Linked DNA regions of Saccharomyces cerevisiae S288C. The gene in region 3 interacts genetically with the main gene of each other region. Each region holds a gene or a part of one and is shown on either strand. Other genes may lie near its edges.

Region 1 (5,028 bases), on a different chromosome or scaffold from region 3:
GTTCGATGCCGTTTTGCTTCGAATCCATTACAATATTCAAACCTTGAGGAAACAGCTGGCACTCCAATAGCCATAACTTCTGCCTCTCTTTAGCCAATGATGCCTTGGTATATTGCCAATGATGCCTTTGTGTAGATGTCCAGAAGCTCCCCGACATGTCTAACTTTTGAGATTCAGATGCCTTATCGCTCTTCAACTAAAGTTTGAGAGGGCATTTTTTGTTCGAACAATATGAGTGCTAACAAGGTTGCTACCACATCAATGAACTCTACTCCTGTATGAACCCTAATTTTCCTTCATGAAAAATGAATTTTCGATGTTTTTCCGTGGATTTTATATTTTTTCAAATATATAAAGGAGTAAGAAAATAACTTTGTTTATCCTATGTTGCGGTAAAGAACTAAATAGTGGTCTTCACCTGTTTTCTAATTTCTTCTCGTTTAAAGTTCTTCAATCCATGACCAAAGAATCGTCACAAATCGAAGCTTACAAAATGGAGTAAAATTTTTTTTACTCAGTAATATGCTTTGGGTTGAAAGTCTCCCACCAATTCGTATGCGGAAAACGTAATGAGATTTAAAAATTTTAAATTGTTTAAATCAACTCATTAAGGAGGATGCCCTTGGGTATTCTGCTTCTTGACCTGGTACCTCTATTGCAGGGTACTGGTGTTTTCTTCGGTACTGGATTCCGTTTGTATGGAATCTAAACCATAGTTATGACGATTGCTCTTTCCCGTGCTGGATCGAGTAACCCAATGGAGCTTACTATTCTTGGTCCATGGATTCACCCCTTTTTATTTTTTTAACAGTTTGTTGTTTACACTACTTTTTAGCAGTGTAAAACTTTTGCATAGTTAAATATGCCGAACTGATCTAATAAAAAGTCTGAATAACTCAGATGAGTTATTTATTGGTAAACTTGTGTAAGAAGAAGATGGAATAGTGAATAATTCATCAAATGATGAAATACCAATGCAACAGAGTCAAGCTCTGAGTTTCAAAAAGAAACATGGACGAGATTGCTTTTTTATTACTGACCATGATTATTCATTACTTACCATTGTTCCTCATTCTATATAATTGATTGGGCACCACGTAAATTCTTGAGCCTTTTCGGTAGTATTCAATCGCAATATGGGGTAGTTTACGGAAGTGCTGTAAATGATGTCTAAAATGAACAACTATGCGTCCTTATTGTGACAATGAATTCCCTTCTTAAATCTCTATAGAGGTCGAATAGATGAATACTCAACACAAAACACTATAAAATAAAAAAAAATACAAAAGTGTTTATATTTTTGCTGTGCGTGCTAGCTCATAGCACCCTTACTTGTACGCTATCAGACGATAGAATTAAAGAGACACTTCGTCTGAATCCACTTATACTCTTTGTTTTAAAAGGTACTGCACCTTCTATGACCTTGATTTGCGTAACTTTAAATCCATATGACTAAGTATCTTCCAATCAGCTGTTAAATTGACTGATGGCCATCAAAATACATGCTAAACTAACATATGGACTGGCCCTTTCACCAACACGTGCCATTTTCCAGAAGGCCCCCAAAACCTCATGATTTTTGTAACGATCTAGGAGAGACGGCCACTGCCCATGAACATAAGAACATGAACAAATCAGTAACAATATCACTTGCAGAAGAGAACGAAAATTAAATAATGCAGACATATTCTGTCGTGGAAAAAGGACGCAACTTTGCAAAGTAAATCGATCCGGCTCTCTAGTTATTTTGCAAACGATGTTTACCGCTGTTCTGTCTTTATCCTTGAGTTGTCGTTGCTCACTCTATTGAAGATCAAAATTTCGCTCAAGAAGAGCAGTCCCACCATGCGTACACCACACTACAAAAATGAATGTTATATCGTTTTTTCATGAATTACAAATGTCTATCGAAAAGTTCATTACTAAATATAATAAGATCAGGATCATTAAGAGATAAATTCACTGTGTCAGGTTACTTCCTGATAAGCTGAAACAAGTGGGTTCTTTCCTTAAGATAATGTTCAAATTTACTAAAATCTGTAATTTCAAGAACGTCAAAATTTCTTTTAATCTTGTTGAAAAAATGTTTATCAGCTTTTCTTCTCTTCTTGTAAGCCATCAAGATTACAGGTGGGTTTATGCAGTGAGTGAGATCAAGTAGTGTTTTTTCTAGTAATGGAAAAGCTTCCTCGAGATACACACAATCAGCTGCCAAAACTAGATCAACGTTATTTGCTTGCATAGCACCTTCTTGAGGTGAGAAATCTGCCGACAGCGGCTCACCCCACCAAAGTTCCCTCGCAAGAACTTCATACTGAACTTCGTCCAGTTCTATATTTCTTTTCAATAGTGGTATCAACTTGTCAATGTCCGTAACATATACTTTAGTGCCATCGTGGAATGTGTTTTTTTCCAACAACCCCACGCACAATCCAACTAAACCTGTACCACTACCCAATTCTAAGACTTTTTTAAATTGTTTCGTACCATTGACCGTCTTACTTAGCAGATGGTCAACTGATTTCTCGAGTATGTACTCGCACAACAGTTCGCCAGCGATCCAGACTTTACCGCCACAACCACTTTCACCGCCATCTTCACAAATTTTCAATGCAGGCAATAATTTTCCACCGAAGGAAAGGTCTGTTTGACCGAGATGCTCCTTTGGCCTAGGAACAACTAGATCTCCAAACCCACCAAATATACTCTCCATACTCAATACCTCACTAGTCGCGTTTTTATAACGTTCTAGGGAAAATTATGGGCCATTTTTTTACATAGAGCCTGCTCATCATAACTTTTGAATTATTTAAATACGAAGAATTACTTTCAGTGTTTGGGTGTGAGGGACTTTTCGTTTGGTCAAGCCAAAAAAGCTTAAGAGAAAAGAAAAATCTCTTCTGGTTTTACTTGACTAGGTTTCCAAATTATAATATCCGTATTATTAACGTGACACTCAGTATTCTCCATTCGTTTACGGGAACGTTGATATGTAAACATATGCAGATCCTCGTATTTTAGCAACGACAGGGAGAAACAAGAAATGAGATAGGATGAAAAAAAATAAAAGTTAGATATTTCTATTTAATTAGAATTCCGCGTAATAAATAATGACACGCTATTATAGTTCATGTATTATTATCCATTACAGGACTATCCTCTTGAATTACGGGCGTATCCAACCTTCTTTCAAGTTCTTCTTCAGTTGAACACAACGAAATGGAATCGGCCAAAAATGCCTCTTTGGCCATAAAATCGAAGTGTCCAACCAAAAGCTCCATGTCACGTTCGGTATTCACGGATGCTGTTTCGTAATTTTCAGGATACACTAGTGCTGTTTTGCCATCATCAAGGATTAGGTATTGAGGATTCACTACTAACGTATGCTTGAGATGTGGTTCAAAAAATCTCCTTAGATCTTCGGCAGTATTTCCAGCAACCAAATTTTGAACCAAAAAACCATTTTTCTTAGCCACCTCTACTTTAGGTTCCGTATCTTGAACCTCGAAGTTGATTAGTTTAGCTGTGGTGCGAGCTTGAAATTCTTGTGCTTTCCTTTCCTTCTGCAATTGTTTAAATGATTCATATAGTGGGTAAGCTTCTGCTAATGATAAGACTGGTTTATTGCTTGCGCCATTATCTTCTTTCTTAATAAATACAGATCTCATGGGCTCTCTGTCCTGAGACTCGGAATATAGGCCGTAAGCTTTGGCTAGTTCACGGATGAAGTGGCGTTGAGGAGGCCTCATAGGTTTGAAATGCAAGCTTGAACGTGTTTTATCGTCCATTAATTTATTAAGAATAGCTTCAATTTGTGAACACCATCTTTCTTGCTTTGAATATACTGATAATGCTGCCTCTGTAAACGGTAACTGCAGTTCTTCAAATGTTGTAGCAACAGAGACCAGTTTTTTTAACGCATCTAGTTCATTACTTGTAAAATTATTGGTTTCTTCCTTAATTCCAAATGCCTCCTTCAATTCCTTTAGTCGTTTCAAAGCTTCACATTCTTCATTGCAATCCAGCACGGAAGATTCAGTTACACTTACTCTATCACTTTTTGCGCCACAAGTAACACTTTTTTTGATCCTTCCACATTTACAATAAATTTTCACTAGCGTGGCACAAGGTAAATCGGGACACTCTGTCTTACCATGGCACGGTTTAGGACATTCATGATTACAATTGAGCCTTTTTTGCCCACAGGTCTGTTTACACACCTTTTGGCAATTTCCTGGTAAATGACATGTTTTTTGGCAGGTATGATAACAGTAAGAGAGTGGTATCCCACATTTTATTCCACATGATACGTCTGTTTGAAAACAAACCGTTCTCACTTTAGTTTTCTTCCCACATTTACAAGGTTTAAATACGGTTTCCGTACATGGCGGGCACGACACATCCAAGGAATGACAGGTATGTGGCATTGGTTTATGACCACACGTAGATTCGCCACGCACAACTTTAATACATGGATGATTACATGTAGGTAGCTTCGTGCCACAACGCACGGGTGCAGGAACAACTGTATTGCCACATGGGCAGACCAGATCGTTCGAATCACTCTCTAAACAGGGCGGACACTTTCCTGGGTGACATTTTCTCTGACATTTATGAATTCCACATGATAGGGTCAAGTTACACGGTTTTAGGCAGATATGTTTTGCTTCCACAAGAGACTCATCCAACAAATCTTGCGTTCTGAACAAGTTTTTCTTCCTTCTTATCGCCGATGGCCTACCACTGCAGCACCTATCGGTGCATCTATGTCTACGGCATGACATCAGGGATTCGCATTTAATATTGCAGCGAGGCCTTCCTTGAAATCCACATGGAACTGAAAATGTACTTTGCTCACAAGCACATTTTACACTATCAATTTGCAAGCAGGGTTCCATACAGGCTTTATCATGACAAGTGAAGGGGCACGAATGTTTGCCACATTTTAGTGGTTTACCGCATCTTGAGTCGCAGGTTGGTATCGGATCATCACAATGCTTACGAGGCTTAGTCAGTTCCTCTAGGGCT
Region 2 (5,505 bases), on a different chromosome or scaffold from region 3:
AATTGTACGATACAACTGTGTAGTATCTTTGTAATTATAATCATGATGATAACGCTAATAATTTGTACGTATAATGCTGACTGAAAGATGTACTTTTCTTCTACCGTTTTTCTTCGGCGGCTATTCGTTTACAATGATTTGGAAAAATGAGAAAAATTGAAAATAAAAAATTCTGCTCGATGAGATGAGATGAGGTTATGATATATATGTAAGAATTCCTCAAGAAGAGGTTGCAAGAGTCTGCAGACATTATCATGGCAGCAAATAGCAATAGTAGAGTTGCATCAAACCATACTTCTAAAAAACAAAAGGTTAGGAGGAATATACATCCATTCACGAATAACACTCGGATTAAAAGAGCTAGTAAAATCGTAAAGTTTAATGATTCAGGCGAGGGCGACCATGTTTCAGACCAACGTTCGAACAAGGAAAATGTCCTTACTTATAAATCTTTGAAAAGTCGGGCAAGCGATTTACTCAAAATGAGAGAAACACTTCCCGTTTACCAACACAAGCGAGAAATAATGTCATATATTGAAAGCAATCCCGTTACCGTCCTTATTGGTGAAACAGGTTCTGGTAAATCAACACAAATTCCGCAATTCGTATTAGAAAAATTATATGATACGAAGAAGCATGGGTCGATTGCTGTAACTCAACCCCGTCGTGTTGCGGCCATCAATTTGGCTACACGTGTTGCTCAAGAACATGGTTGCAAACTGGGTGAACAAGTAGGTTATTCTGTCAGATTTGACAATACGACTACTACAAGAACAAGACTTAAGTATCTGACTGACGGTATGTTACTTAGAGAACTTATGATGAATAGTGACCTTAGAGAATACAGCGTCATCGTTATCGATGAAGCGCATGAAAGAACTGTGCTTACAGATTTGATATTGGGGTTCTTAAAATCCTTGATACAAGGGCCAAGACCTGATTTGAGAATAATTGTTATGTCTGCAACATTGCAAGCCGAAAAATTTAGTGAGTTCTTCAATAATGCCCCAATCTTATTTGTAGAAGGAAGAAAATTTGATGTCAAACAATACTACTTGAAGGCGCCAACAGATGATATAGTAGACGCTGTCATCAGGTGTTGTATACAAATAAACCAAGGTGAAGAACTGGGAGATATCTTATGTTTTTTACCGGGCCAAGAAGAGATTGACAAAGCAGTGACTATAATGGAGAAAATTGCAAAGTATGTTTCAGATGAGGCCCCAGTACCATTAATAGTTCCTTATCCTTTATATGCAGCTCTTCCCGCGGTCCAACAGTCCTTGGTCTTCGCTCCGATAAAGGGTTTCAAGAGAAAAGTCGTCTTTAGTACCAATATTGCAGAAACATCTGTTACCATATCCGGTGTTAAATTTGTCGTTGATTCTGGTCTTCGAAAAGTCAAAGTTTGGAGACATCAGCTGGGATTAGCCACTCTACTTACCGTACCCATTTCTCAGGCAAGTGCGATGCAGAGAAGTGGTCGTGCTGGTAGAGAAAGTGAAGGAAAGAGTTTCAGGCTTTATTGTGAGTCTGATTATGTGAAATTACCTAAACAAAGTGAACCTGAAATAGCCAGAAGTGACGTCACATCTCCTGTGTTAATGTTGAAGAGATATGGTGTTGATGACCTGCTAAACTGGACCTGGTTTGAGAACCCTGGAAAGGAAGCTATAGTAATGGGGCTTCAGGAACTTTATGAATTGGGTGCTCTTGACACTCGTGGAAAGATAACTAAACGGGGTCAACAAATGGCTCTGTTACCGCTACAACCGCATTTAAGTAGTGTCTTAATTAAAGCCAGTGAAGTCGGATGTTTGAGTCAGGTCATTGATATCGTCTCTTGCCTTAGTGTGGAAAATTTACTGTTGAATCCGTCACCAGAAGAAAGAGATGAGGTGAACGAGCGTCGTTTGTCCTTATGCAACGCTGGTAAAAGGTATGGTGACCTTATCATGCTGAAAGAGCTTTTTGATATCTATTTCTACGAACTAGGGAAAAGTCAAGATGCAAGCTCTGAAAGAAATGATTGGTGTAAAGGATTGTGTATTTCGATACGTGGGTTTAAAAATGTAATTCGTGTCAGAGACCAGTTAAGAGTTTATTGTAAGCGTTTGTTTTCTTCAATCAGTGAAGAGGATGAAGAATCCAAAAAGATTGGTGAAGATGGCGAGCTAATTTCGAAAATTTTAAAGTGTTTCTTAACTGGGTTTATCAAGAATACAGCTATAGGGATGCCAGACAGGTCTTATAGAACTGTTTCCACTGGAGAGCCGATAAGCATTCATCCATCATCTATGCTATTTATGAATAAAAGCTGCCCCGGTATAATGTACACGGAGTATGTCTTTACTACGAAGGGATATGCCAGAAATGTTAGTAGGATTGAACTTTCATGGTTACAAGAAGTTGTCACTAATGCAGCCGCTGTAGCAAAGCAAAAAGTTTCTGATTCAAAATAAGTCACCTACTCTTAGCGCATTTTTATTGTATATAAAGGCATTTAATGTAATTTATAGAGCATTATAAATCGTAACAACTACTGCAGTATGAGTTTCATGGATTCATTTCTCAATATCTTATGAATATACACAGGTATATATGTATATTCATGTTAAACGCCTTTCGAATTGTTCGTTGGCTTTTTTTGTGAAATTATCTCGGGAAAAGGGCGAAATTATATTATTTTGCCGTTGACATTTTGAAAAGGAATAAAAGATCATGAAAAAAATAAGAAAGGCAATTCGACGCATTTCTCTCAGCAAGCTATTCTTTACTTTTGAAGAACAAAATATTTTAGCAAAAAGGTTAAGACAATATAGTCGGAAGCAGTTCTGCGGGATCTGAAGGAATTGCGGAATAATGAGATTTCACGATAGTATACTTATCTTCTTTTCTTTGGCATCGCTTTATCAACATGTTCATGGTGCAAGACAAGTCGTTCGTCCAAAGGAGAAAATGACTACTTCAGAAGAAGTTAAACCTTGGTTACGTACGGTTTATGGAAGTCAAAAAGAATTAGTCACTCCTACGGTCATTGCCGGTGTCACTTTTTCTGAAAAACCAGAAGAAACACCAAATCCATTGAAACCTTGGGTATCTTTAGAGCATGATGGTAGGCCAAAAACCATTAAACCAGAAATCAACAAAGGTCGAACCAAGAAGGGAAGACCTGATTACTCAACTTACTTCAAAACGGTAAGTTCCCACACATATTCTTATGAAGAATTGAAGGCTCACAATATGGGCCCTAATGAAGTTTTTGTAGAAGAAGAGTATATTGATGAAGATGACACCTACGTCTCCCTGAATCCTATTGTCAGATGTACTCCTAATCTTTACTTCAATAAAGGTCTAGCAAAGGATATCCGCAGTGAGCCATTTTGTACCCCTTATGAGAATTCTAGATGGAAGGTTGACAAGACTTACTTCGTTACTTGGTATACAAGATTTTTTACAGATGAGAATTCCGGTAAAGTTGCTGATAAGGTTCGTGTTCATTTGTCCTATGTTAAAGAAAACCCCGTAGAGAAGGGCAATTATAAAAGAGATATCCCTGCAACTTTTTTCTCTTCCGAATGGATTGATAATGACAACGGTCTAATGCCGGTTGAGGTCAGAGATGAATGGCTGCAGGACCAATTTGATCGTAGGATCGTTGTATCAGTTCAGCCAATATACATATCAGATGAAGATTTCGATCCACTACAATACGGTATTTTATTATACATCACTAAGGGTTCAAAAGTGTTTAAGCCTACTAAGGAGCAACTGGCTTTAGACGATGCAGGTATAACAAATGATCAGTGGTATTATGTTGCATTATCTATCCCTACTGTCGTGGTGGTATTTTTCGTCTTCATGTACTTTTTCTTATATGTCAACGGGAAAAACAGAGATTTCACAGATGTTACTAGAAAAGCTTTAAACAAGAAACGCCGTGTTTTGGGTAAGTTCTCGGAGATGAAGAAATTCAAAAACATGAAAAATCACAAGTACACCGAATTGCCATCTTATAAGAAAACCAGTAAACAAAATTAGATTCCCTTCGAAGTATGCATTCACCCTTCCTCGAGAGGGCTGTTTTTATCTTCCGTCACACTAATAGAAAACCACTCTATCCAGTTTTTTTTGTTACTTAACTTATCTTAACTCGATATTGTATAAATACTGAAGTCCATATACTTCTTTTTTTCTCCTTTGGATAGTAAATACGGTAAATTAAAATTAGTGTAAACTGAACAATATTAACATATATAAATCATCTGTACGACAATTTGATACCAAATAAATAGAGAATGCATCAGCATCCTCCAGGGTTCAAAAGAAAACGCTGGATCTTGCTTCTTTTCCTTTGATTTCTCCTTATATCCATTTCTGTCTTGCAGCAACTTCACATATTTTTTCCAGTGTAATGACCCTTGGATCAGGCTTAAAATGACGCTCAACCACATTATCATCTCCTTCCACATTCCTGCTAAGTAAGCTTTCTTCGTCGCCCTCGCTATTGTCCACATTATCTTCATCTTCATCATCATCTCCGCCGACGTCTTCAATGTAGTAGAAAAAGGGTTCCAACACCAACATAATTTTCCAGAAGTTGTTCGTGCCACAATTAGCAAACAAGACATCTACAAGGGCAGGTAGGTATTCCAATTCAATGTACTCCTCTGCGCAACAAACAAATTCATCTAATTCGTAATCTTGCTCATCAGCAGATAATGTAGAATACATTTCTGATAACAACGTTAATTCTTTGCTAATTGTTTTTGGAATATCTTCTCGAGCTTGCCATAACAGCTTTTGCGCTCTTTCCAGTCTTTCTTGGCTAACGGCATCATCCTTGCTCTCTTTTTCGCCTTTATCACCTTGGACATTTTCGGAGTCTTGTAGAGAAGGCAAGAATCCGTTCTTTTCGCTTTTGACCATAAGCTCATTGTATTCGTTATAGAGGGAGATAATTTTCATCATAGGCTTGTATAATTGCTGACAGACTTTCATTTCCGAGTAAGGTACAATGACTTTTTCCAAATAGTGATTGATCAGTCCTTCCATGAAGTTTGCCCAAATTGACGAAAATACATAATCCTCGTCGTAAGTCGATTCCGTAAAATCTTGGTTGATGTTATGCTGTATGATTTGCTCTGTAAGAGTTGGGAAAAGGTTTTTATGGCTTTTGACCATTTCATCTCTCAAAGCAGTAGATCCAGCGCTATCTGCTCCTTTAGTAGAATTTTCCAAACTATTATCTGTTGAAGACGCCTCTGAGTTCTTTTCACCATCTGTCTTATCTAGCCAGTATTCCGGACCACCCTTTTCAGACAATGTCACCAATAAAAGGAAGAGTTTTACTTTAACCCACGGGTTTAGCGAGTTTACATAGGCGTCCGTAATTTTGCTAACATCGATATTTATTTTTCTATGGATGCATTTGATAAATTTTTCAATGTAATGTGATTTTTTCAATCCGTATTTTTCATTCAGATATCCAACCGAAGTGATTAC
Region 3 (6,421 bases):
ATACGTATGTCAAGGTTTTCAAAGAAAGAAAGAGTTAAATAGCAAGATATATTGCATTTATTACGGCATCATCTGTTTAATGAGTCCTCATTCAATTTTTTTTTTTTTTTTTCAATTTCAAGTTCGACGAGAAATTTGGAAAAACGGGTCAGCAGGAAAGAGTCAGGAACGGTTGAAGGATATTGAAAGTCATTTTTGTTTATTTACAAGCTGATGTAGAATTACATATCCTATCTATGCGTCAGCTTCACTCATCGTTGGTAAGGATAAATCCAATTTAATATGATATTTTGCACCAGGGAGAATAGCTGTGATGATATCCAATAGAGCGAAAGAAGGAATGGAGCCTGTGAGGACATTGCTAGCATAACGACACAACCGAGTCTCGATACGTTCAGTATACTAGTCATTGCCTCTTGGACTCTTGTCGAATTCCTTGAAATTGTCTTTATACCTTGCGATGACAAACTTGAGCTAAACATCAGTCGGCCATTGAGTTCCACGTTTAATACCGCCAGAGTCCCCACCAAAATGGGCGCTAGTAGAGGCATTGCTACTAGCGGTGAGCTTAGATCAAAGGAACTGAAACCCAGTGCGGAAAACCAGGAAGGATAAAAACTTTCTATAAGCTGTGTCTCTGTTAGGGTCCTGATGCCCATGGAGACTGTGACCCAAAGAGGAATTTGCACCATTGGCAGTAAGGCATTTTTCCATAGGGGTACATTGTACTTCTTGAATAATTTTTTCTGCCTCTTTCTTGTCTCTTTCACTGCCAATAGTGTAATTTGTTCTGGTGTCAAAACGCCAGCATTCTGTAGTTGTAACGGCATGAAAGAACCGTTGGAGCTAATTCTGGCGGCATTTCTAGACTTTTTATTAGTAACGGCTGCCAGTCGAAGTTTAATAATGGGCGTTATTGGCTGTACTAATTTCCTCAGTTCTTGTTGTTTCAAAATTCTCCTCCGCTGCCATATACTGAATGGCAGCGTCACGAGGGTTCTAAGGGTCATAGTAGTCAAAGGAACAAGCACTATCCATGGTATATGTGAGGCTTCATGCACTGTTAAAAACGTGTCCGCTACACTTTGAAAAAGTGAAAAGCTTCTCTTTGTACTTGGATTAGTCCTACCATATCGCAGACCGACTGAGCTGCACGAGAATGACGCAAAACCATTTTGACGATTGGCTAACCTCTTTAACATAATGCCATACTTTATCTTGAAATTTTCCTATCCTTGGACCTTTTTTTTCTAATGAAAGTCTTTTTAGCCTTAGTTGAATTACTGGACGGTAGAAAAATTGGGTTTGCCAGCAAAAACAAAAGTGCAGAACGTTAAATAAATGAAAGCATAAACTCATATGCTAGAATATTTACTAAAAAAAAAAAAAAGTAAAAAAAATTCATTACTATTATACATGTGATATCAGAACGGAAGGTTTTACTCAACTTGACTGCCATCCCTCGGTTTGTAGTGAGGCAACAGCTCCACAACCTCAGCTGGTAGTCTACCATCGACCTTGATGGCGTACATACCAGCTATACTATGATCTACGCTCAGCCACTTTGCTACCCACGACTTAGTAGGCTTACACATTCCTACGAGGCCCTCGAAAGAAGGCGACGTACATTCCATTGTAGAAACACCTGCCTCTTCAAAAATACCCTGACAGTTGGGACAACCATCTCTATTAAACTCATTTGTGGTCTGCACTATGCCACACAGCATACAGGCTCTTTCACTAGACATCTCTTACACTGTACCTCGTTCGCTTTTGCCAAACTGAATGTGGCCAGGTGTAATTATTACACAGTACATCCTTCGAGCCCTTTCTTAAATTTCACTTTTTCACTCGATTTCACTCATAGAACGTATAAGGTGACCTTTATCAACATCGAGATTAATTATAGATAGAAGATGATTAAATTATATACATGAATATATTTATTTGAGGTATGGTGTCTAAAGCGTAATATACCTATCTACTTCACGTAAATTGGACTACGAGGACCGCTTTAAATAGTAGTAACCATCTCTTTCCTCCATATTTTTCTTTACAAATTCTGGAAGCTCTTCACCCTTATTACTATCATACAAGATGATACCATTACCTAGAGCATGTTTCTTTTCGTTTCTCTTGTAAAAAAAAAGTACAACAAACGTCCATAAACCGTAAATAGCACCAAAAATTAAGCTCACGGTGTAACCAGTCTTAAAACGTGGTGACTCCACGGTAGGCCACGCCAAGGTAGGAATCCAGGCGTAAGTGGATTGAGAGAAGGAATAAATGGCGATCCATGTAATAGCCTTCACCTGAGGATCAAACCTTAAGAAGTCATTAATAAACGACCATAGACAAGGCGATGCGGCCACACTGAAATACGTGGTGAAGAAAGCGTACCATTTAGCTTTCGAAGGAATATCCCACTTGATAAGTAAGGCACAAGAAACGGTATTCATTATAGCAGCAAAAACCATGAATATCCACTTACATCTAAATAAATCGGCACCAAAGGCACAAAAAATCACATACGCAAATCCTAAACATGCGGGTATAACACTCAGGTTGTTCACTTGGGCAATGGAGTACTTTGTATTAGACTTTAACCACAAAGTATATGAACCACTATACGCAGTCATGTTATTCCACGAACATGTATCAAAAACAACAAGTACCCAGAATGCTGGAGTACAAAATACTTTCTTCCAAAGTTTTCTGCTCCATAATGGGGCTAGCTTACTTTTATCAACACCATCTTTGATTTGGTTCCTCTTATTTCTGGCCCTTGCAATTCGTATTTCTTCGTCAGTCAGAAATAAAGAGTAACACTTAGATGGTACACCGGGAATAACAAAAAAACCAATAATAGCCGTGGGAAGAGAAATTGCAATGGCATCGATCAGAAACATCCATCTCCAGCCTGCTAGACCATGGACGCCGTTCAAACTTTTGAATATGCGACTTTGCAGAAGTCCTGAAGTCACGGAACCCAATTGTTGCCCACAAAAGAATAAACAGACTCTTGAATTAATTTCATCTGGGGCATACCAACAACCTAGTATATATTGGGACACTGGGTAGTAAGCAGCGCCAAAGGCACTTAAAATAAATCTGTAAGCCCTTAGTTCGGCTAGTGAGTTTGCCCTATAACATGCAAATGTGAACCAAGTCCAGCCCAAGTCCATTACAGGCAAAATAATATGAGAGGGAAATCTTGGTAACAAATACATAAATGGTAATTGGAAGACAATGGCACCAACATTAGCAATAGTAGAAGTGTAAACGTAATCATTACCTTTCATGTTTAAATCTTCCTTCATATTGGAAACATATGCGTTAGTGTAGTTATTCAAATCCACTGACTTGGACCAACATAACATAAAAAAGTATAAAGCAATAATAATGTCTAGCTTGTAAAGAAGCCGTCTTTCAGCCTTGGTTTGAGTAGTATGATTAGGATACAAAAACTCGTACCACTTACGTGATTTCTTGTATTCCTTATTAACACGATACTCGAATTCATCAAAATATTTCCACCATTTACGCCCAGCTTCATCTCTCACTTCATATGGCAAGTCATGCCTTAAATTGTGAGGATGAGGTTCTACAGCTGTAGTTTCTGCCGTAACGTCTGTCTTCGAGGACTTATCTACGCTATGATGTAGCTCCTCTTCAGCTATGATACTGGAGTTAGTATCGTCTGAGTATAAGTACTGATCATCTTCGGGTAGTTTTCTCAAATGTGGGAAGTAGCTCCTCCACGATTTATTCGAAATTGTCATTATCTATTGATTTGTGTCGGTCCTTTTTTGAAAATTGAAACAAATGAAAAGGCGATTGCTCGTGGGTGTAGAGCCTTTATATATAGTTATGTTATAGCCGTAAGAGTCATGCAGATTTTTGGGAATGGCTATCATCAAACTTAGCCTTGCATCTCATATTTCGACTTTTTTTTTCATTTCACACATTTTTTTTTCCTTTCACAGTTGGGTGAAAGAGTCTCGGAGGCGGTACGGCGCTTTCTGTGTAAATCATCCTAAAGTGATTCATAATCTCAGAGCCATTTCGGGTGAACTAATGATGATTTTCTAGTAGACTACGGCAGTATCTTAGCTGACGCAATTGTAGCAATGGAGGCAATCATGTTAGTAAAGGACATTTTAGTTGTAGGAGCATAGGATCGACAGGCCATGTGAAAGGCGTACTAGCAAAGATTGAAGTAATGAGAATAATTGACGATGATTTTAATTTGAGCTTTTCAATGCAGCCGAATTCAGCAGTAGTTGCAGAACCGGACTAACACTTGAAAAAATCCCACGAGCCAGCTGCCGTCTAAGGATATTGTAATAAAGTTGGGCTTAAACTAAAGTTTTTATATCTTGGTTGTAAGGTTGTAATCATTCGTCTCAAGAAGAACGTTGAGTAATCATTAGTCCTCCGCATAAGTAGGTTGCCAATAACTTGTTCAGCAATGATGGTTGCAGCATATCCTCGCTAACGTTTTACTTACCAAATATTTTTTGCTGGTGATTAAGAAAGCTTCTACCATAAGAACACTATGTCAATTTAAAGCAATAATGTTTTCCTGAGTGTTCTTGAGCCTCTGTAAACGAATCATCAATTCAAGTATTTTTATTTTATTGCAAGGATATCGCCAACTAATTATTAACCGGCACTAATGATAGAAATGTTTTTATTTCGAACTACAAAAAGGGCATACATGACGTGGATATATGTAAAGGGTTACTAGTTTACTTATTGATGTAATATCAAGAACAATGTGCTTTTAAAAGAGACATGGTTGACGAGTAAACAAACATACATTGGTAATTCTATAAGGGTCTTTAGGCAATTTCAAATCCACTTGAGTAGGTGTTCAATGCGTCGCAGTTGGTTGGAACGAGTTCGAGTTTTTGAAACAATTCACAAGCGGGATGATAGTAGTAGCCTTCCACTGAACCTGTTAGCTGGTCTAAACACACATAGTAAAATCCCTCAAATGACGCGCCTTCCAGATGATGATTATCGTCCAACATCAGATTTTCTTGTTCCTCATCATCAAGTAGGAACCTTTCCTTCCATTTAAGATAAATATATCGTTGATTCATAAATTCTGCACTTTCATGATTATACTGACCAAAATTTCTTTCCGTTAACGACCAGTTATCAGAACCAAAATGACCAAACCTCTTCCAATGAGAGCAATCACTTTCTCTCTGAGCCATATAAGGGTCGAGCGTCTCCTCAGCGGGCCAATGCAGTGAACATAACGGGAATTGGTTATAATTGATGACATACCCTTCAAAAAGGGTAACAACTTTATCTAGGACTGGTGTTAAATTTTTAATAGTGAAAGTACCTGTGACATGCGGGTCCAAAGAACGCGAATCCTTGTAAAGTGGCAAGTTTACGGTATCAATCTTCACTTCCACCGTATAATACGTGTACTTTGACGATTGCGAACCGCCAAATCTCAATCCTGGCCTCAAAAAATCTAAATGTCTACCAAGGGATCTGTAGGTATATTTAGCATTCTTACCCACTAAATTGGTCCCTTCCTCGTAAACATCACAGTCCTCTTCTTTTGCTTTGAAGTGAGGCAAACGTGTATCAGTTGAGGAGGGTAGAGAGACATAGGCCGAAGTATATATTTCTTCAATGTTGTCATTTCTTTTGGCCCTTTCTAGAATAAACTTTCTTCCCATGATATTCAGTGATGTCATACCTACAGTATATTTTAAATGAAAAGTCTCATAACACAATACGAAAGGATAAAGATAACTCGTCGATGGCCATCATGATTGCCCTTTTTATATGTTTTTATCAAATATTAAACTAAACAACATATACAATTACATCATTTTTCCCTACTTTCTTTTTCTGTAATGGTTCATCGAAGCATTTTTAAGGGTGCCCTGAAGACTATTGTTAAAAAAAGGTACCGCATACATTCGAACCATTACCAGAAAAAAGAGGGGTGAAAAGACATTCTAAATTTTGTTATCGAATGTGAACAGAACACTTAAGAAAACGCCAAGGTTAAGAAGGCCTTGAGAGTATTGATTAAGGCGCATGGAGCACAGGTAAACGCGAAAGACGTTTTGTACTTCCTTTTACTGAGCACCTCTTACATGTAGTAGTAACCATCGCAGCGGAATAAGCACACAAAAAATGGTATTTACTTTTAGGCAAACTTGTGGGAAGTATTAAAATTATTATGTAGATTTATGTATATCGTTTGTGGTTGTATTAAACTTTAATGTTATTAGTGTTGTTAACAACATTTCTTTGGCCATTATTTTATTTGGCTAAAAATTTCAATGTTTTTACTTTGTTTATTGTCAGTTGAAGAAGCTGAGAATTCTTGTGATTCCATGTTTACCTGGGGTGGGACCACTATTGTTTGGACTAAATTGATATT
Region 4 (6,529 bases), on a different chromosome or scaffold from region 3:
CAGGGAGGACCATGACAGGACGGCACCAGCAGAAAACTTCATAACGGGATAGATGTATGTTTTTCTTTATGTAGAGCTTGGCAGCTTTAAAATTACCAATTAGACATGCTGCTTGCAACAAGAAAATGCACGCGTAACAAAATATATATATATATATATATATATATGTATGTCCATACGGGTTTTTCGTTTTGTTGTGGTTGTAACAGCACAACAAAATGCTACACGGTGGCAAATTGGAAAAAGAGACTAGTGAGAGAAAAGGGAAAAAGAGGCGCCGCCCGACAGGGTAACATATTATCACGTGCAGCCCAGGATAATTTTCAGGACACGTGTTTCGAAAGGTTTGTCGCTCCGAAAAAATCAAAAAAAACAAAAAACGGGAAATAACAATAACGACAAAAATGGAAAAAAAAAAAATTTTAGACGCGGCGCTTGCACCCCGCATTATAAGTGGTGTGCCGACGGACGGTCAACCCCTTTCAGGGGGCCCCCTATCTTGGGCGTGGTGTCACACCACGCTCAAACGGTGGGCACTAATGAAAACGCGCCCATATAAATATCCGCTATCAACAGAACCCCCAACCCCCCCATCAGTGCCCAACTCAGCTTCCGTAAACCACAACACCACCACTAATACAACTCTATCATACACAAGATGTCATTCGACGACTTACACAAAGCCACTGAGAGAGCGGTCATCCAGGCCGTGGACCAGATCTGCGACGATTTCGAGGTTACCCCCGAGAAGCTGGACGAATTAACTGCTTACTTCATCGAACAAATGGAAAAAGGTCTAGCTCCACCAAAGGAAGGCCACACATTGGCCTCGGACAAAGGTCTTCCTATGATTCCGGCGTTCGTCACCGGGTCACCCAACGGGACGGAGCGCGGTGTTTTACTAGCCGCCGACCTGGGTGGTACCAATTTCCGTATATGTTCTGTTAACTTGCATGGAGATCATACTTTCTCCATGGAGCAAATGAAGTCCAAGATTCCCGATGATTTGCTAGACGATGAGAACGTCACATCTGACGACCTGTTTGGGTTTCTAGCACGTCGTACACTGGCCTTTATGAAGAAGTATCACCCGGACGAGTTGGCCAAGGGTAAAGACGCCAAGCCCATGAAACTGGGGTTCACTTTCTCATACCCTGTAGACCAGACCTCTCTAAACTCCGGGACATTGATCCGTTGGACCAAGGGTTTCCGCATCGCGGACACCGTCGGAAAGGATGTCGTGCAATTGTACCAGGAGCAATTAAGCGCTCAGGGTATGCCTATGATCAAGGTTGTTGCATTAACCAACGACACCGTCGGAACGTACCTATCGCATTGCTACACGTCCGATAACACGGACTCAATGACGTCCGGAGAAATCTCGGAGCCGGTCATCGGATGTATTTTCGGTACCGGTACCAATGGGTGCTATATGGAGGAGATCAACAAGATCACGAAGTTGCCACAGGAGTTGCGTGACAAGTTGATAAAGGAGGGTAAGACACACATGATCATCAATGTCGAATGGGGGTCCTTCGATAATGAGCTCAAGCACTTGCCTACTACTAAGTATGACGTCGTAATTGACCAGAAACTGTCAACGAACCCGGGATTTCACTTGTTTGAAAAACGTGTCTCAGGGATGTTCTTGGGTGAGGTGTTGCGTAACATTTTAGTGGACTTGCACTCGCAAGGCTTGCTTTTGCAACAGTACAGGTCCAAGGAACAACTTCCTCGCCACTTGACTACACCTTTCCAGTTGTCATCCGAAGTGCTGTCGCATATTGAAATTGACGACTCGACAGGTCTACGTGAAACAGAGTTGTCATTATTACAGAGTCTCAGACTGCCCACCACTCCAACAGAGCGTGTTCAAATTCAAAAATTGGTGCGCGCGATTTCTAGGAGATCTGCGTATTTAGCCGCCGTGCCGCTTGCCGCGATATTGATCAAGACAAATGCTTTGAACAAGAGATATCATGGTGAAGTCGAGATCGGTTGTGATGGTTCCGTTGTGGAATACTACCCCGGTTTCAGATCTATGCTGAGACACGCCTTAGCCTTGTCACCCTTGGGTGCCGAGGGTGAGAGGAAGGTGCACTTGAAGATTGCCAAGGATGGTTCCGGAGTGGGTGCCGCCTTGTGTGCGCTTGTAGCATGATCTTTTTACATTTTTTTGGTTTGTGTACGTATCCCACCGTACTTACCATCTTCTCTCCTTTATATATATATATATATATGTATATTTTCAGTGTATATACATACATTCTTATACAATACCGTATAAGAACGTATGTATGTATGTATGATTTTCTCACATTAATGAACAATATCATCGGAAACGGGCCTTTGGTTTTTAAGGGAAAATGAAGAACAATAAATGCCTTGCTAGGTCTTCCTTTATCATTTTTGGAAGTCAAATATGAAAAACACTTCCAAGGGGGCGTACTACTTCAACTAATAAAATGTCACACACTAATAAGATCGCATACGTGTTGAACAATGACACGGAGGAAACAGCCTCGCCCTCTTCCGTTGGTTGTTTTGACAAGAAACAGCTCACTAAATTACTGATACATACTCTAAAGGAGCTGGGCTACGACTCCGCCGCTAACCAGTTACTGCTAGAGAGCGGCGGATATCAAAATGAGTCTAACCACATCCAGACTTTCTTCAAACTCATCAAGACCGGCCAATTCCATCTTATTAATTGGCAGATTGTTTGCTCGCTGCCCCTTGCCCATAGCTCTCCGCTAAGGTCCGAATGGCTTCAAAGGCTGCTCATTCCCACGCCGACGCCCGCCACGACTTCACTTTTCGACCACATGCTCCTGCAACTGCAATACCTGCAACAGCTGATGAGCTCTGTAAATTCATCTACTTGTTCGGACGCAGAGATCGCCACGCTCAGAAATTACGTAGAGATCATGATTCTAGTTAATAGACAAATATTCCTCGAATTCTTCCATCCAGTCACAAATTCCGCCTCTCACAAGGGCCCTCACACTGCACTGCCCGTCCTGTATTTGCGCAAAATCCTCAAAAACTTCATCGAGATATGGGATTCCCTGCTGGTGTCTAACGATCAGTTCCTAAATGAAGAAAACATCTTCAATCCGGAAACGACCTTGAGAGAACTGTCGACGTACCTGACCAACCCAAAACTAACCGCGCAGTTGAACCTCGAGCGAGACCATCTGATTGACGCCATCTCCAAATATATCGATCCGAACGAACTCGTTCCCAAGGGTCGTCTCTTGCATCTCTTGAAACAGGCCATCAAGTATCAACAATCACAAGACATTTTTAATATCATCGATCCGGATGATGACGCCTCTTTCTCCTCTCCACCCCACCGGATCAACCTTTTGCAGGATAACTTCTCACACGATCTGACTGTGACCTTTCAAGAATGGAAGACTATCCAAGACACCACAGACGAAATTTGGTTTTTGACATTTTCGCCCAATGGCAAGTATTTGGCTTCTGCGACTTCCGAGTCTTCAAGAGGCTACTTCATTACTGTTTATGATGTGGAACAAGACTTCAAAATTTATAAGACTTGCGTGAGCTTGTCACAATCCGTATTGTACCTCATGTTTTCTCCTGATAGCCGGTATCTGGTTGCTTGCCCTTTCAGCGAAGATGTTACCATTTACGACATGAATGCCACCTCCCTGCCCGATGCGTCTGCCACAGACTCGTTCCTACTATACCCTTCTACCAGGCTCTCGCCCATGGACTCGTTTAAACTGGACACCACCACGTACCCAGATGATACCGAATCATCAGCATCATCTTCCTCGAGGCCGGCAAACGCGAATTCTAATCAATCAAGAGTATGGTGCTGCGATGCCTTCCACACTGCGGAACGTGCGGGCTGGATGGTGGTTGGATCGCCCGACAGAGAAGCTATTGTACACTCACTCACCACGAAAGAGTCACTTTTTAGCTTAAAAGGCAGGACTTGTATCGCGTTGGGCCACGATGAAAACATCTCTGGGAGAAAATCAATCGATCCTGCAAAAGTCCTTTACAAACCAACAAGTAGCAATGGTAACTGGCAATATGTGGAGGACGACGAAACCTTTCCACGTGTGCACGACGTGAAAATCAGCTATGACGATAAATACGTGCTTTTAATGACCCACCAGGGCGTTATAGATGTCTACGATTTCAGTGGGTTCCCCTCCAAAGAGGAGCTATCTAAGCAAACAGTGGATCCCAAAAACTTTCTGATTCCAAGGATCGCAAGATTGGACGTGGGCAAAAACATGACTTGTATCTCATTACCGCTAAATACCACGCATCAAGGCTTCCATAGGCAACAAATATCCGAGTCTCAACATTTGGTATTAGTTAGCCTTCAAGATAACGAATTACAAATGTGGGACTATAAAGAAAATATTCTCATACAAAAGTACTTTGGACAGAAGCAACAGCACTTTATTATCAGATCTTGCTTCGCCTACGGTAATAAGCTTGTCATGAGCGGATCAGAAGATGGTAAAATTTACATTTGGGATAGAATTAGAGGTAACCTAGTATCTGTTTTATCCGGTCATTCCACGGTAATGAGTAATTCCACAAAACCCATGGGGAAAAATTGTAACGTAGTTGCATCAAACCCTGCAGATAAAGAAATGTTTGCTTCTGGCGGTGATGACGGTAAGATAAAAATCTGGAAAATTTCAAGAAATTAATACTCCACCTTATATATATACGTAAGCAAAGTTTTATGTAACAAAAAAAAAAAAAGAACTAATCCAACCTTCTTTCACTTTCAGGTAAAACTTGACTGAGTTCTTCAGCCTCTCTTCTACCTCTCTTGACATCCAAACAGTTTAGCACAGGCAATGATAGCATCAAAAGCAAAAAGAAGAAATAAAACGAATAGCGAATATTATGCGTTTTATCGGTAAGCAGTCCAACAAGGAAGGGTCCCAGGATGGACGACCCCTTATCTGTGATACTGAACATACTAAAAAACGTGGATTCTTTTCCTGGAGGTACAATCAAACTGAAAACTGATCTTGAAACCGCGGACAGGCCACCTAGTGATAATCCATACCAAATGGCCAATAAGAACATTTCAAACTTATGCTTTAAACCGAACGCATTGAAGAAAAATCCAAGAATACCATAAAATGGTATGAAACTTGCCCAAATGATAATGTACATCAAAGTTTGACTAGAAGTCCACCGAAACTTTGTGGCAAGAAATTGTGGAATCATAAAGGCACCCAGCATTGCATTTACAACGGTCAAAACACTTATCATGATTAAATTGAGGGTACTCATGTGCAGTTCTGCCTTGGAGAACAAAACCGCTGTAGAATTTATAGTTGTAATGGAATCACTAATAATAAACCACGCAATAAGAAAAATCATCACATCTTTCAATAGTCTGGCATGTTTAAACGATTCGAAAAGCGAAACCCAACCATATGAAAGGTAATTCTTCCAGTTTAGTTGACCCAAGGCGTCTTGCTCACCGGGATACGGACTGCGGGCGGATGCTAATGTAGAATCGTCAACTCTTATCGGTATTGTCACATCGTCAATCAACCAGATCATGGGCAGTTGCCACACAAACCACCAAATCCCAACGAAAAGAACAGCCACTTGAACATCCTGCTTACTGCCCTTTTTAGATGCGACTAAGAACATAGATACAATCTGAACAATGAGGGCACTTGAATAACCTAAAGATGCACCTCTACCGCTAATAACAGTAGTTAACGAGTCTACCTTATCAGGTTCATAAGCTCCTTGACTTTGACATTTCAAAGAATCCTTGACAAAAATGGGCAGAAGAGAATTCCCAACAACATTGATAACGCCAAAACAACCATTGGCCACTATATAAAGCCCAGCCAGAGAATAAATCTGGGTATCATTCAATTTTGAAATCGCAACAGTCGACAATGCGCCCACAATACCAAACCAAACCAGAATTCTGCCTTTGAATTTAACGCTCCCCCAGAGATCTACTATCCCTGAAACGGAAATGACTATTATAGTTTGGAATAAAACGCTAAGGGAAAAGACATATAATGCAAAACTTGAAGTATCTACGAAGATCCGATTGTTGAACAAACCAAGAACACACTTATCTGAATCACTACCCGTTTCTGACAGGCAGGGTATGGAGTGATCGTGAACTTTTACACCATTTATACTCGCAAATTGCTGCAGTAGTAAGGGAATATACGTTGAAACCGCAGAAACGACAAATGGTTCGCTAGAAAATGAGTAAGCGTACCATCCCTTGATATTGTTTTGGGCTTTTTTTATTCGATAGTTCGTTACCGATTCATTCATATCATTTATAGTTCCATAGCTCATATCTAATGTAGAGAATATGTTATGAGCAAACTATTGCTTATAAGGGCAAAAACCGTGGTAATATAGGTACAGTTTGAAATCTTTCCTTTTGTTTACACTACGCATCTTTCAATAGCTGAGGTATTTTCGTTTAGGAAAATACCGTTTTAAGGAATTAATTTTAGCAATTTCCTAAAATTGT

Evidence for each region.
Region 1: mutations in VHT1 (region 3) and EFM6 together harm fitness more than expected from each alone (negative genetic interaction), as found in Saccharomyces cerevisiae (one large-scale study listed by BioGRID).
Region 2: mutations in VHT1 (region 3) and PSG1 together harm fitness more than expected from each alone (negative genetic interaction), as found in Saccharomyces cerevisiae (one large-scale study listed by BioGRID).
Region 4: mutations in VHT1 (region 3) and GID7 together harm fitness less than expected from each alone (positive genetic interaction), as found in Saccharomyces cerevisiae (one large-scale study listed by BioGRID).

The regions. Positions count from the first base shown.
Region 1 is NC_001146.8:585,135-590,162, forward strand, and holds EFM6 (putative protein-lysine N-methyltransferase), read right to left. Parts: upstream 2,714-5,028; coding exon 1,973-2,713; downstream 1-1,972. Other genes in the region: cyclin-dependent protein serine/threonine kinase regulator SSN8, read right to left, coding at 1-157; KSH1 (Ksh1p), read right to left, coding at 1,468-1,686; FAP1 (Fap1p), read right to left, coding at 3,129-5,028. UniProt on the Saccharomyces cerevisiae protein: S-adenosyl-L-methionine-dependent protein-lysine N-methyltransferase that methylates elongation factor 1-alpha (TEF1 and TEF2) at 'Lys-390'.
Region 2 is NC_001143.9:288,591-294,095, forward strand, and holds PSG1 (Psg1p), read left to right. Parts: upstream 1-2,862; coding exon 2,863-4,041; downstream 4,042-5,505. Other genes in the region: DHR2 (RNA helicase), read left to right, coding at 255-2,462; AAN1 (Aan1p), read right to left, coding at 4,366-5,505. UniProt on the Saccharomyces cerevisiae protein: With EXP1, the specific cargo receptor protein for the plasma membrane ATPase PMA1, is involved in the transport and/or maturation of PMA1.
Region 3 is NC_001139.9:616,077-622,497, forward strand, and holds VHT1 (Vht1p), read right to left. Parts: upstream 3,783-6,421; coding exon 2,001-3,782; downstream 1-2,000. Other genes in the region: membrane insertase COX18, read right to left, coding at 252-1,202; transcription elongation factor SPT4, read right to left, coding at 1,440-1,748; GID10 (Gid10p), read right to left, coding at 4,845-5,723; YGR067C (uncharacterized protein), read right to left, coding at 6,296-6,421. UniProt on the Saccharomyces cerevisiae protein: Involved in uptake of biotin with the concomitant entry of protons.
Region 4 is NC_001135.5:50,180-56,708, forward strand, and holds GID7 (glucose-induced degradation complex subunit GID7), read left to right. Parts: upstream 1-2,465; coding exon 2,466-4,703; downstream 4,704-6,529. Other genes in the region: protein disulfide isomerase PDI1, read right to left, coding at 1-42; YCL042W (uncharacterized protein), read left to right, coding at 405-764; GLK1 (glucokinase), read left to right, coding at 659-2,161; ATG22 (Atg22p), read right to left, coding at 4,762-6,348.